Linked DNA regions of Arabidopsis thaliana. The protein of the gene in region 2 interacts with the protein of the main gene of each other region in a pairwise test. Each region holds a gene or a part of one and is shown on either strand. Other genes may lie near its edges. The genes, in order: AT1G30475 and AT2G20820.

What was found.
Region 1: the proteins of AT2G20820 (region 2) and AT1G30475 interact in a two-hybrid assay, tested with the Arabidopsis thaliana proteins (one large-scale study listed by BioGRID).

What each region holds. Positions count from the first base shown.
Region 1 is NC_003070.9:10,787,587-10,792,002, forward strand, and holds AT1G30475 (uncharacterized protein), read right to left. Parts: upstream 2,358-4,416; coding exon 2,273-2,357; exon of another isoform or gene 2,134-2,272; coding exon 2,047-2,133; intron 1,792-2,046; coding exon 1,646-1,791; intron 1,403-1,645; coding exon 1,327-1,402; coding exon of another isoform or gene 1,235-1,326; exon of another isoform or gene 1,097-1,234; coding exon 915-1,096; 3' UTR 640-914; downstream 1-639. Other genes in the region: AT1G30473 (Heavy metal transport/detoxification superfamily protein), read left to right, coding at 1-521; DRT111 (D111/G-patch domain-containing protein), read left to right, coding at 2,729-3,598.
Region 2 is NC_003071.7:8,962,364-8,966,122, forward strand, and holds AT2G20820 (uncharacterized protein), read left to right. Parts: upstream 1-1,985; 5' UTR 1,986-2,086; coding exon 2,087-2,195; intron 2,196-2,445; coding exon 2,446-2,516; intron 2,517-2,614; coding exon of another isoform or gene 2,615-2,658; coding exon 2,659-2,692; intron 2,693-2,779; coding exon 2,780-2,874; 3' UTR 2,875-3,061; downstream 3,062-3,759. Other genes in the region: ULT2 (Developmental regulator, ULTRAPETALA), read right to left, coding at 3,482-3,759.

The DNA.
Region 1 (4,416 bases), on a different chromosome or scaffold from region 2:
ATGACAGAAAAACAGAGCTTTTCTCAGTCAAGTACCAGCTTGATGATGATGATCTAAACAGTGATTCAGAAGACTACTCTTCTTCTGACTCTACTAATTCATCTTATGATCCTAAACCCATGGAACGTCAATTCCAAGAGAAGATGATGCAGCAGAAGAAGAAGAAGTCTGGGATACTAAAAATGCTTTCTCTTTTATGGTGTTTCAGCAGTAAATCAAAAGTTGTTCAGCCTTTACCGATGCGAAACCGAAACTGGCATGTCCCATCAAAGTTTGAGAATGTTCCTCCTGGCTTTGGCTTCAATTCTACTACATCGTCGCAGTTGCGGCCTCCGCATCCAATGATGCCCTATCCACCAATGATGCAACCACCAATGATGCAGCAACAACGACCACTAATGATGCAGCAACAAGCACAAGTTCCAATGCCACCTAATGTTAACATGTTCCAGTCAGCACCCCAACCGTTTAAGATGCACCCTAAGTTGCATTACGGGGAGCAGAAACAGGTTGTCACCTAAGCTACTTGTTCTGTTGATTATGTCTCTGATACATATACTAAGCAAAAGAATTGTTTTTAAGTTTCGTATCTTTTGCCAATTGCCGATAGTGAACATTTCTCAAGTCTGGCAAACTTTTAAAACAAAAGAACAAGGGTACATTTTGAATTCATTTATGTGTGATTCTCTGCATCTCCCAAACCTGGTTCCATAAACATTTGGATAAGATGAGCTTTGTTTGTGTCACGGAACAAGAATCTCATTCATAACCCAACAGAGAAAACATAAATAACAACTCAAATCTGTGCCTATTGCTAGTACTAGAATCTATTGTTTTTGATACAGAGATTTCTCTTGGAGAATACTTGTCTTGAGATTTGTCTGTTGTGCTTGTGCATCATGTTTTCCTCCGATTTAATGGTTGTTTTCATGTTCGCCCTCCAAATCTTTCAAGTATCCCATGAACAAAAGAAACCCGAAAAGGAAGAATCCACCTGAAGAGCTCCCTCCACCGCCTCCGCCACCACCACCACCACCATCATCCCGAGGTGGGAACCCGTTTCCACCGTCATCAAGCTTTGGGGATTTAACTTTTCCTGATATTTAAGTTAAGGCTAAAAAAATAAATTCTGAAGATACAAACAAGAATAGACCAGTCCGTTTCTGTTAAAGCACATTCTCAAGAATAAGAACCATAGCAAGCCACAATTTGAGTTCAAAATAACTGTTTCATATTAGCTAGAATCGTATGGTTTTTTAAGCCCCTCTTGTTTGTTAGAAACGCAAAATAGTTGTTCAACATAGAGAAGGGGATGAAACAATTTACCATGAGTAGGAGCTTGTGTGATTGTTGGTGATTGCCGTGTAACGGTCTGTGTTTGTCCTTGACTGCATTTTGAATTCTGCAGAAAACAAATCAGAATAAGTAAACAGCTAGCGTTTCAGAGACACTTAGGAAGAGAATACCGGAAAATAAACTATTATCGGCCATAAGAGCAAAAGGATCTTGTTCATAAAACAAGCAAAATGGCTTATGATGTGTAATTAAGTTATGTGAGCAAAATGGTGTGTGATGAAGTTATCCCAACAGCTAAAGATTTAAAACACTTAAACTTAAAGGCTGCAAAGTCATGAATGGAACCTACCAGCGCAGAGTTACATGCAAAGACTGGTCTTTTATTCTTAGAGACGACAACTGGTTGCACTGCATCCTGGAGAGAAGGGAATTTACTTTGGCTCCAAGGCTGGCGTTGCATAGAAACGCTTGTAGGATAACGCCTTTGAGAGTTTCCTATTACAGACAGCAAGTAGAAGAAGAGCTTTAGAATTCCATTGTTCATTCAATAAAAGCAAGCTCGAACGATGGGACTAAAGCAAGAATCAATGCTACAACAACACTCACTAAAGCTCTGAGATATCAATAACAACAACAAGTCTAGTTTCTTCAATTTGTCAAGAGCAATCCAAACTCAATTTCAAAGAATTTTCCAAAGAAGCAATTGTAAACTTAAGAGCCAACAAGTGTTGAGATTTAGAAGAGACATACCATTACTCGTAAAAGATTTCTCACGAGGAGCGAGGTACACCGATGTTTGTGTACCAATACACAATGATGGATTCATTACCGGCATAACTACAAACAGCAACAAAACAATAATCTTTAACCTATTTCACAAGGGAGAAAAATAAAAAAAAAAATCAATTTCTCATAAATCGAATAGAGAAAAAAATTATGGATTCATCAATTTTGAAATTCGATTAATGATAAAAACCCATAGAGATTTGGATCAAAGCAGGTAGATTTTTTGTCGAGGAAAAATTTGGGATTTTGGTTGCTCCTCGAAGCTTCTCGATCATAGAGGACGAAACGCAAATAAATAGTTTATAAGAAGAACAAAAAAGATGAGGAACGTGAATCGCACCTGAAGACTAAAACGCAAAAAGACGGAAAAAACAAAGATCTTTCTTAGGGTTTATGTAAAATTCTCGCACAAATCAATTTTAAAGCGTTGGCTTCTATTGCAAGAATCTAAATAGCCCAGAAAATAAAATAAAAGGACAAAATATTTCTCCTTTGTTTGTCGGTTTTTTATTTTCCAACAAAATGATATTTGTTTTATTTATTATTACTAAGGCTGATCGGAAAAAATTAAAAACCCTAATTTGAGCAGATCTTTCCAATTGAAAGCGAACCGTGAATTTTGAGTCTCTTTACCGGCGGCGAAAAAATGCTTGGTGGATTATACGGAGATCTTCCTCCACCGACCGATGATGAGAAACCCAGTGGAAACTCCTCTTCCGTCTGGTCAAGCAGTACCAAAATGGCTCCACCTACACTTCGCAAACCACCAGCTTTTGCTCCCCCGCAAACAATCTTAAGACCTCTCAACAAACCTAAACCTATCGTTTCGGCTCCGTACAAGCCTCCTCCTCCTTCGAATTCATCGCAATCGGTGCTTATTCCGGCGAACGAATCAGCACCTTCGCATCAGCCTGCATTGGTTGGTGTGACTTCATCGGTGATTGAAGAGTACGATCCAGCGAGACCTAACGATTACGAGGAGTATAAGAGGGAGAAGAAGAGGAAAGCTACGGAAGCTGAGATGAAACGAGAGATGGATAAGAGAAGGCAAGAGGATGAGGAAAGAGATAAGAGAGAAAGAGAAGAGAGGGAGAAGGAGAGAGAGAGAGATAACAGTGATCCGTCTCGGTTGAATATCTCCGGTGAGGAAGCGTGGAAGAGACGCGCTGCTATGAGTGGTGGTGGAAGTGGTGGGAAGGGAAGATCTTCGTCTCCGCCGGGGAATGTTGATGGGTTTAGTATTGGGAAATCGGAGACGAGTGGGTTAGGAGTAGGAGCAGGTGGACAGATGACAGCTGCTCAGAGGATGATGGCGAAGATGGGATGGAAACAAGGACAAGGGCTTGGGAAATCAGAGCAAGGGATTACTACGCCATTGATGGCTAAGAAGACTGATCGTAGAGCTGGTGTCATTGTCAATGCTAGTGAGAATAAATCTTCTTCGGCGGAGAAGAAGGTTGTTAAGAGTGTTAATATCAATGGTGAACCAACCAGGGTTTTGCTTCTTAGAAACATGGTATGCGTTTCAATAACATCTCTTATCAGCTTATGGATTCTTCAGTTCTTGAGTTTGGATGCCACAGTCTTAGTTGAATCAGTATTAGTAGGCCAAAGTCAATTTAGAACTTATTCAAATCAAACGTGTTGTTATACTAGGACACACTTTGCTACAATGATTTAGAACGGTCTGTTAGAATGATATTAATGTATTCCAACATTTGATGTGGTCTTAGTTAAGAAATTGTTACTGCTAATTGTTGGCAGCATGTGAGGGCGTAGTATTGAATTACGGTTGACAAAGATGTCTCTGTGGAAATGGAATTGAGTAATGGGATGCCATTGGAAAGTAGGACCTTTTGTGACTATGTTGATTTTTTCAAGCTATCGTGAAGTTAAAAGCTTTGGCAGTTTTGTGATGATAATTCTTTGTTGGTGAAGCTTGTAGCTTAGAGTGTTACTTATGTTATGGTAGCCTAGTACACTGCTGGATTGTTATAGAATTTAGATTGCCTACTCTTTGGAAACAACAGTTTAAGTTACAGTATCTTTCCCTCAAATAGTCAAATAAGCATTTGGAACCGTACTTTGGTTTTTGGGGATAGCCTAACCTGAGGCTTTAAGCTTGGATTGCCAAATACTAGAGAGTTGACAAATGAATCCGTAGGGGTTGGCATTTGATGAAGTAATTTTTATGGTTCTTGGATTACTGTAATAACTCGCAAGATCTATTCTTTCTGTGTTTTTTTTTTTCATTTCTTGACTAATTTTTGATGGAAATTCCAACCATGTAGTTATTGGTATGTGAATGAATGCATCTTCACATTGATTGTCATA
Region 2 (3,759 bases):
AAAACAGCGAGAGACTACATGAACATTAAAGACATGAAACAGTAATTTCAAACCTGATATTATTACTCAGCCAAAGCGTGGCCCAGTTATTTGAACGACTTTGGAAACAGTAATATCATTTATATACTACTATTAAGATTTAAGAATAAGCGTTTACCAAGAAAGAGAATATTCAGTCCTCTCAAATGGGAAATCGAAACGTCATGAAAAAAAGAGGAAAATAAATGAAAAGAGAGAGACGCTTTGTTCTATATATAAAGGAACCCTAAACAAGTGGTAAAGAGCAAAGCAAAACCTTTTAGTTTCAATGTCTAAATTCTATTCATAAACCCTAAATCGATCCATGTCTTAGAAACGATAGAAATTCCGCTGAAGATATCTTCAAGCGACGAAGATGAAATGGAGACTCCAATTAGAGAAGAAGGTGAAGAAGACTCTTCGTCGGAAGAAGAAGATGATGATATGTCTTCTAATAACCCATCAGCTGCAACAGAGAAGCAAAAGAGAGTTTATTGAGTAAAAACGAAATTTATAGGAGATAATTTTTCCTTCGTCATTTCAACCATAAAGCCAAACCACAAAAAAAAATCTCTTCATCTCCCTCAAAACTTGAAATATGGTGAAAACAACTACTCAAGGTACATCACGTAAGATATTGACAATTTTTTATTTTTATCATTGCATGAAAATTCGTTTTGTCATAATCTTAATCTCTATTTGATCTATGTGTGTAGCGAAAACCAATGACAACGTTAATTGACTCATACACTGCACAATGTTGAAAGTGTTTCAAAGTGAGATATAGAGAGTCACAAGAAGAGTACGAAAAGAATCAAAGTAAAACTCCGAAAAAAGTCTTTTGAATGCAAGAGATGTGAAAAATCTAGAGATGTGGTTGTGAACTTTGATTCCCCTATTGTGCGTTGGTTTCAGGATGGACATGGTATACCCAACACCCCTCAAGGTTTGAAGAGGGTTTTGATCGTCAGAACAAGCTGCGAGAAAGCCGATGTTTAATATGAAACATTAGCTCCTAAACGAAAGAGACTAAATACTGTGAAGAAAGTCACTAAGTTTATTGAAGACAATGAACAATTCAAAGACATGAAGATTGAAGAGGTTTCTTTTACCGCACCCAAACAGCTGAAAAGGAAAAAGTTCTAAATAATGATGTTATAGTTGTTGATATTAAAACTTGAAAAATCAACAAGTTAAGGAAACTAAAGAGACAGAATAAACCTTAACTTGTTGATCTTTTCAAGTTTTGTTATCGGTAACTACAACATCCTTACTTATATTTTTTTCTTTTCAGCCGTTTGGGTGCGACAAAAGAAACCTCTTCAATCTTCATGTCTTTAAATTGTTTATTGTCTTCAATAAACTTAGCAACTTCCTTCACAGTCTTTAGTCTCTTTCGTTTAGGAGATACTGTTTCATAATAAACATCGGCTTTCTCGTAGCTTGTTCTGACGATTAAAACCTTTTATAAACTTTGAAGGGTTTTGGGTATTACCATGCCCATCCCGAAACCAACGCACAGTATGGAATCAAAGTTCAAACACATCTCCAGGTTCTTCACATCTCTTGCATTCAAAAGACTTTTTCGGTGTTTTACTTCGAATCTCTTTGCATTGGATCTTAATAATGTTTGAGCCGACCATGTTCTACATATGATGAACAAAACTCAAGCACTAGCGATTATTAAGGCTTTTTTTTTTATTTCTATCGATCTTTTTTTTTTTACCTATTGATAATGTTGATGTTGAAATACTCAAACATGGAAGTGGAATTCAAAAATACAACTAAAGATCTGTTTTCTTAGTACATACAGAATTGAGAAACAGAGAGATGAAAAATGCCAAGAGTGTGAACAAAAGTCCACAAAACAAAAGCCTCTGACGGAGAAGGAGGCTTTTAGGTGTTACCCAAACAAAACGCACACAATACGGCGTCGTTTAGAATCAGAAAAGACATTTCTTTATGGTCACTTGATTCTCTCTTCCTTCATCAATCAATCTCGTCTCCTGGAAAACATTAGGGAGCCTCTCAGATCCTCAAGAAAACCCTAAATCAAAAGTCGAGATCGATGGCGTCCTTCGCTCGCCGTGCCATGAGCTTAGCTCAGATCCCATCTGCTCGTATTTCCTCTGGAGCCGCTTCTATTGGTCAGCGTCGTTGCCTCGCCGGCGCCGCTGGTAAATTCTCTCTCCCTCTTCCTTCTCTTTTCGATATTTACGATTTTTTTCGGTATCAATTTTGGTGGCGTATAGCTTATTTCGCACATTTTATGTCTAATTTGTGTTTTCACGAATTTTAGATGAACCAAATGTTACAACTTTGTGAAGATTTTGTATATCATTGGCGTTGTCAGGTTCCAAATTGAATCACTGTATACAAAAAATTGAGTTTTTGAGCATTTTGTGGATTTGTCTGTGTACTGTGCAGATCACCATGGATCTACCAAGGTTGACTTCTGGAAACAGCCCACGAACCCAGGAAACTGGAAAGAGGAGCATGTATGTATCAATCATGTGTTTGTGACACTGTGTTTTTGTTAATGAAAGCTGTGATTTTTTGTTGAATTGATTCCTTCTGTTACCTGACCAATCTGCAGTTTGTGCTTATTTCTCTGTCTGGCTGGGGCTTACTTTTCTACAGTGGATACAAGCTCGCCACTGGGGGAAAAAAAGAGGTACTTACTCTTGCTCTTCAGCTCTTGCTCTTCTTCCATTGCCTAGAGGCTTCGGGTTCCTTCCCTTATACATAGTTTTTTTTGCAGACGCCTGTGGAGAGTACACAATGAGTTTCATTGTCACCAGGAAGACCTTTTATGGAGAGACCTCTCATTCTCATGCACTTTGTTTTCCCTTTTAGCAGATTGTGACTGGTCTTGTGTTTCATTTTGAAAATAATTTGCATCACTTTTGAGATCTGATGATGTCTGCAATGGATAAATTCTTGACAGTTTTGTGTTTCATAATATCCTATGTTTGAAACAGACAGGATTTAAGCAAATCATTGTCTCACTACGTATGTTGATATATGCTTTCGAGCTATTTCCTTCCATTCTATTTGTCTGGTTTGGATACCAATTTTTGTTGGAGGTATTTCTCCATGTATGTCGTCCACCTTCCAAGTACATATTGGCTAATCCAAATGTTTGTAGCTGCTCTTGTCTCATGCTTTTATTCTTGACATAGTTTATTCAGCATACTATTACAGTCACTGCTTGCTTCTTGTTATCGATCTCCTGCCTTGTGTGTATTTGCCGAGGTTATATGGTTGAATTTAGATTAGATTCATGTCCTCGTAGTGGTGCTAAGTTAGTTTTCCAAGCCCCAAGTCGGTTTTTTTTCCAGTATGTGATCCCTACTTGGTCTCTCCACTCGCATAACAGGTGTAACAAGCTACTGATTAAAGAAAATGCAGAGCATACATTACAAGTTTTTGCAGAAGAATTAAATAAGTTAGAGAAATGAAGTCAAATGGGTTTGGCATTGGTGGTGAAATCGAGGCAAGTCTGGCAGTTACAATCAGAGAAACGGCAGAGCTTGCAGCCGAAGCAGACGCAAGAAGTGCAGCCTTTGCAGGACGGTGAGCGAGTGCAACCTCTGAACACTTTCCTGCTCCCTCTTTCTTCCTCCTCCTCGCATGTTATCTTGTCGTATGGGTAATCGCAACACTTCCAATTAGGCTCAGCAATTGCATCATGGTGCATCCGGCATTCCCCTCTGCTCCTCAATCTGAACCTCCTCTCCT